Kluyveromyces lactis: one gene and its partner. The protein of the gene in region 1 interacts with the protein of each later gene in a pairwise test. Links are inferred from orthologs where the notes say so. Each region holds a gene or a part of one and is shown in the gene's direction. Other genes may lie near its edges.

Region 1 (3,940 bases):
AGAACCACACGTAATATCGTCATGGTAAATGTTTTTATTACTGGCATGATGAGACGGATTGAATTCGGTCAAATCCCCCATCTGAGTCTTAGAATTGATCGAAGCACCAGATTTACGACGTTTCCCATCCCAAGGGACTCGTAGATCTGCGGCATCATTCTTATGAAATACGGACCCGCGGAACAAAGGGTTAACCTGGGATCCAATATGGTTGGTATGTTCACGATGGCTAACCTCCATTAGACTTCGAATTTTTGAGTTTGAGTTTGAGTTTAAAGTTCCTATTCACAAAGTAATCTCCTCAGCAAAAATATTTCAACTCTAAAACCTCATTCCATGAAATATTTTCGTCTTTACTCGCCACGAAATGAAACCAGGCTGCTATCTAATTCTTATTTGATAGCTGCGCCTTATCTCCACCTACCGACTTCCTCTATTCATGTTGGAATAGAAATTGTCTGATGAAGAGACGAACCAGGAACGCTATTACCCGGATAGTGCATGTGATTTACACGTGACTAAAAATCACCCTTTTAAAAGGCTAATTTGAGGCCCCATAAGCAAATATTCGCCCCACCAAGGCGAAAATATCCCTACAAGTTTACCTCACTGCATGCTTATCCGTTGCTGGCGCGCTGACGCGAAAGGTTGAATCCCTGCTATTTGTTTAGTCCACTTAAAAAGCTCTTGGGACAACAGAAGGGAAAAAAAAAAAACAAAAAAAAAGTGGGATCTTTTGAACAACAAATATATATCTTATTTGATTTATATGTGTTTTATTTAGATTCACGAGTTTCAGGAGAAGAGTAGAGCGGAAAATACAGGGAGCGAGGCATCTGACACCGTGTATCCTTGTGACTAGCAGTACGAAGCAATAGGAGACTGTTTTGATTTTAATTGCCGTGTGTCATTGCAGATTCAATTGAGTGCTCGTTGGCTTTTTCTGATTCAATTATTGGTTATTTGATTTGATCTTAGATTTCAGGTTTTAAGCGTTAATCAGCATAGGATGCCGTACGAAGTCGGGACTCGCTGCTGGTATCCCAGCAAAGATCAAGGATGGATCGGTGCTGAAGTTACTAAACATACCTTGCAGGGAGATTCCTATAATTTGGAATTGACTTTGGAGGATGGACAGAAAGTAGAGCTTTTAGTGTCTTCTTTAGATGAAACCAAAGAGCCTAGTTTACCCCTACTTAGGAACCCTCCAATCCTTGAGACTACGGAGGATTTGACGTCATTGTCATATTTGAATGAACCGGCAGTTTTACATGCTATTAAGGCCAGATATGCCCAGTTGAATATCTATACTTATTCAGGGATCGTGCTCATTGCCACAAATCCCTTTGATCGTGTGGATCAACTATATTCTCAGGAGATGATCCAGGCATATGCAGGGAAACTTAGAGGTGAATTGGAACCACATCTTTTTGCTATCGCAGAGGAAGCGTATAGGTTGATGAAGACAACAGATCAGAACCAAACAATCATCGTTTCTGGTGAATCCGGTGCAGGTAAGACTGTTTCGGCTAAATATATTATGAGATATTTCGCTAGTGTGGAAGAAAATAATGAGGAAAACGCACATCATAATTTGGAAATGTCTGAAACTGAAAAGAAGATATTGGCCACTAATCCAATCATGGAAGCATTCGGTAATGCTAAGACTATTAGGAATGACAACTCTTCCAGATTCGGTAAATATTTGGAAATTCTCTTCGATGACGATACTTCAATCATTGGTGCCAGAGTGAGAACATATTTGTTGGAACGTTCTAGGTTGGTTTTCCAACCGAAAACTGAAAGGAATTACCACATTTTCTATCAAATATTATCAGGTTTATCCGACGATGAAAAATCTCAGTTGAAACTTACAGACATACAAGACTACCATTATATGAATCAGGGCGGTGACTCTCATATCGAAGGTGTCGATGACGCCTCTGAATACGGTGATACTGTGGAAGCATTGAGTTTGGTTGGTATCTCAAAGGATACTCAATTCCAGCTGTTTAAAATCTTGGCGGCCCTTCTTCATATTGGTAACATCGAAGTTAAAAAGGTCAGAAATGATGCTTCTTTGTCATCTGATGAACCAAACCTACAAATAGCGGCAGATTTGTTAGGTATAGACGCTTTTGATTTCGCTAAATGGGTAACGAAGAAACAGATCGTTACCAGGTCTGAAAAGATCGTCTCATCCCTACCTTACCACCAAGCCATAGTTTCTCGTGATTCTGTGGCGAAATTCATATATTCAGCATTATTCGATTGGTTAGTGGACAACATAAACACCGTGCTATGTAACCCTGAAGTGGTAAGCGAGATATATACTTTTATCGGTGTCTTGGATATCTATGGTTTTGAACATTTCCAAAAGAATTCTTTCGAACAGTTCTGTATCAATTACGCTAACGAAAAGTTGCAACAAGAGTTCAACCAACATGTTTTCAAACTAGAACAAGAGGAGTACGTAAAGGAACAGATTGAATGGTCGTTTATCGAGTTCAACGATAATCAACCGTGTATTGACTTAATTGAGAACAAAGTTGGTATTTTATCATTATTAGACGAAGAATCAAGATTACCTGCTGGTACGGATGAAGGATGGACGCATAAACTATATGAAACTTTGAATAAACCTCCAACTAATGAAGTATTCTCCAAACCAAGATTCGGCCAAACTCAATTTATTGTTAGCCATTATGCATTGGACGTCACTTATGATGTAGACGGATTTATCGAAAAGAATAGAGATACAGTTTCTGATGGACATCTTGAAGTGTTAAAGGCTTCTAACAACGAAACTTTACTATCTATTTTGGAAACTGTTGACAAAAATGCGGAAAAATTGGCAGAGAAACAAGCCCAAAAGCAAGAAAGTCAAAAGAAACCCGGTCCAGCCTCAAGAAAAATCGTAAGAAAACCAACTCTAGGATCTATGTTTAAACAATCGTTGATCGATCTTATGGAAACTATCAACTCCACTAACGTTCACTACATTCGTTGTATCAAACCTAACGAAGACAAAGAAGCATGGAAGTTTGACAATCTTATGGTTTTGTCACAGCTTAGAGCATGTGGTGTCTTGGAAACAATTAGAATTTCTTGTGCAGGGTTCCCATCGAGGTGGACATACACAGAGTTTGCCCTCAGATACCATATATTAGTACCATCAGAGCTTTGGTCAAATATTTTACTATCGGATCCATCTGAAGAAGATGTAAAGAACTTATGTAAGGAGATCCTGAAACGTACAATGGATGATACTGCAAAGTATCAGGCTGGTAATACAAAAATTTTCTTCAAAGCTGGTATGCTAGCACATTTGGAAAAGCTAAGAACCGATAAGTTATTCTCATCCTCTGTCATGATCCAGAAAAAAATTAAGGGTCTTCACTATCGTAAAACATATCTACGGACTGTCGATGCAATCAAAAGGCTACAGGCAAACGTTAGTGGTAAGATCATAAGATTAAGAACTGAGAACGAATTCAAGAATAATGCAGCTCTATTGATTCAAAGTGCCTATAGAGGTATTTCTGTGAGGGATAACGTTTCCAGTATAATCATCAGCATCATTAGAATTCAATCCATGGCTAGAAAGCAAATTACCTGTAAAGAGTTATTGGAAAGGCGCAGAGGCGATGCCGCTGTTACGATTCAAAAGAGCGTAAGATCTTTCCAACCAAGAAAAAGTTTCCTACATGAGAAGAAGGGCACCGTGGTCATCCAATCTTTCATTAGAAAGCACTATGCTCAAAGAAAGTTAAAACAACTAAAATCGGAAGCCAAATCCGTTAATCACCTACAGGAAGTCAGTTATAAACTTGAAAACAAGGTCATTGAATTGACGGAATCTCTTGCTTCTAAGGTAAAGGAAAATAAGGAACTTGTTTCACGTTTGGAAAACTTGCAAAAATCTCTAAACGAATCTGAA
Region 2 (2,637 bases), on another chromosome or scaffold:
AGAGGGCTATTAAAATCTTCAACGAAATTGAAAAAGAAAGATTGTTGATCAAGGACCTACCCGCTCAGGACATCTTGAAGACTAGGTATTTCTACTTGGCATCAACTATGTTCTATTGGGCTGCTCATTTAATCAATACTGGTGCTAGAGTGTGTCTGGGTCCATTTGCTAAATGTTATTTGGCACCCTTCTTGATGAAGTTAGACAGAATGAGAGATGTTTGTAAAATGGTCAACATTAAGGTTTACAGTATTTACGTGGAACTTGCATACATTCCAATAAGCCGCACGTTGTTACCTGACATAATTTCGATCTTGGATGACACAGATTTGACTAGCTCTCATGAATTACGTGTGAATTTGACTTTAGCAGAGAAACTTTTCTCCACACAATCGTTGGTTATGGACCATGCTGGTAAAGTGAAGATCTTAGAGTTCGTTTTGGACAAATTGTTCTGTAAGAGTTTTGTAGAGGTTCGTCTCAAGGCTTCCTATGTCCTTGCCGGTATCGTGCATAACATATCTTATGATACCGATACTTTGCACACTCTCTTGGAAAACTTCAAGCGTCAACTTGGTTCATATACTTTCGAGGAGAAAGCTGCACTCTCCAAATCCAACACAGATATTCACGGTGCGATCTTGGGTCTCGGTGCCATCATCGAAGCATTCCCGTACGTTTCACCGTTACCAAATTGGATTCCAGAGAATATGGCACTACTAGCGTCCTGGGCAAGAACAAGCGGTATGTGCGGTGCTGATGCAAAGAACATCATCTCTAGATACAAGAAAGTTAGAGCAGATACCTGGCATTTGGACAGATACCAGTTCACCTCGGAGCAATTAGAAGATATGGAAGGTGTTCTTTGGAGGAGTTACTACGCCTGAGAAGTTGCACAATCGACACAGATGACCCACAAGCTGCGTATGCACATGAATATATATGTACATCTACAAGTATAAATCGTATAATTTAACTTGACATTGGGTATGCCTATCACCATATACGAATTCGATCAGTATCTAGATTTTGGACAAATATTGTTTGAAAGGGTGAAAGCAGGATAGCCATCACGAAAGGCACTAACCCAAACACTTTACGGCCGAGCTATTAAAACCCAGATTCTGTTGACCAGATATAACCAGCTCGCCACTCCTCCAATATATCGAGATAAAATAACAGTGTTGAACTGTGATATCAATTTTTTTCACTTAATTGAAGCGTGAAGGAAACAAGGGAGATTGAAACTATAATGTCTGGATTAAGAACGGTTTCTGCTAACGGCAGCACGAATAAAAACTATGATTCTGTCATGAAGATTTTACTTCTAGGTGATTCCGGTGTAGGTAAATCATGTCTTTTGGTTCGTTTTGTTGAAGATAAGTTCACACCAACTTTCATCACCACAATCGGTATCGATTTCAAGATTAAAACCGTAGACATCAATGGGAAACGTGTGAAGTTACAACTTTGGGATACTGCTGGCCAGGAACGGTTCAGAACCATCACAACCGCATACTACAGAGGTGCCATGGGTATTGTATTGATTTACGATGTTACTGACGAAAGAACTTTTGAAAACATCAGACAATGGTTCTCCACTGTTAACCAACATGCTAGCGAGGATGTAGTAATGCTGCTAGTCGGAAATAAAAAGGACATGGATACAAGAACCGTGTCTTACGAACAAGGTGAAGCTCTTGCTAAGGAGCTAGGGATCCCATTCATTGAAGCCAGTGCCAAAGACGACACCAACGTCAGCGAAATCTTCTTCACATTGGCCAAGTTGATCCAAGAAAAGATCGATGATGGTAAGATGGAAGGAAAGGCTGAAAAGGAGGGAAATGTAAGCATTCGTGGCTCAGGCTCTTCAGGCTCCAAGTCCAATTGCTGCTAAACCACAGATCAGAGCGTACAATAAGAAATAACAACCTATGCATTGGCTTTGTGTGTGTACATATATATATATATTCAAATGGTATGTATTAGAAAGTTCAAAGGTAACTTTACACGACCATTCCAAATCAGGTGATTTACACGTGACGTAAATAATCACATGACCATCTCCACGTGCCACTCAAGATCAATATAAAATTGCCCAACTTTCCCAATATAAGGGCATCGATGATTATATAAAGAGTGCATTAGAAGGAAATGCAAATAAAGAAACAGATATAAGGATGGACTTAAAGATTTTATTTAGCCAATAAACAGTTGGGTAGATTTCTATTTTCTTGTTCAGCTTCCTTGTATCTTGAATTGAGAAGTGTAATCCTGATCACCATCTTCAGCTTTATAACCAGGAAGGGTTGCTGTTTATTATAACCCTTATAATATTGTCAAAAGAGGGATTTGGTCTTTTTAAATTCAAGGCACAATGCTATTTGGTGTGAAGCTAGCTAATGATACTTATCCCCCATGGAGGGATTCTTATATCGATTATGAGAAATTGAAAAAGTTGTTAAAAGAGTCCGTTATCAGAGACTCTGAAATGTTCAATGGTTCTTCTTCTGGCCGTGGGAAGAAGGGGAAGAAGGGGAAGAGTAATGTAGATGAATATTGGAGTGAGAAGGATGAATCCAAATTTGTTTCCGCGTTGGATGAGGAGTTGGAGAAAGTTTATGGATTTCAAACTTC

Evidence for each region.
Region 2: the proteins of KLLA0_A03905g (region 1) and SEC4 interact in a two-hybrid assay, tested with the Saccharomyces cerevisiae proteins (4 studies listed by BioGRID, with this or other methods). The link is inferred for Kluyveromyces lactis from reciprocal best matches to the Saccharomyces cerevisiae genes MYO2 and SEC4.

What each region holds. Positions count from the first base shown.
Region 1 is NC_006037.1:347,540-351,479, reverse strand, and holds the start of KLLA0_A03905g (myosin family protein), read left to right. Parts: upstream 1-1,009; coding exon 1,010-3,940. Other genes in the region: FRT2 (Frt2p), read right to left, coding at 1-240. UniProt on the Saccharomyces cerevisiae protein: Myosin heavy chain that is required for the cell cycle-regulated transport of various organelles and proteins for their segregation.
Region 2 is NC_006041.1:1,074,047-1,076,683, forward strand, and holds SEC4 (Rab family GTPase SEC4), read left to right. Parts: upstream 1-1,252; coding exon 1,253-1,897; downstream 1,898-2,637. Other genes in the region: proteasome activator BLM10, read left to right, coding at 1-887; VTC2 (vacuolar transporter chaperone), read left to right, coding at 2,378-2,637. UniProt on the Saccharomyces cerevisiae protein: Involved in exocytosis. Maybe by regulating the binding and fusion of secretory vesicles with the cell surface. The GTP-bound form of SEC4 may interact with an effector, thereby stimulating its activity and leading to exocytotic fusion.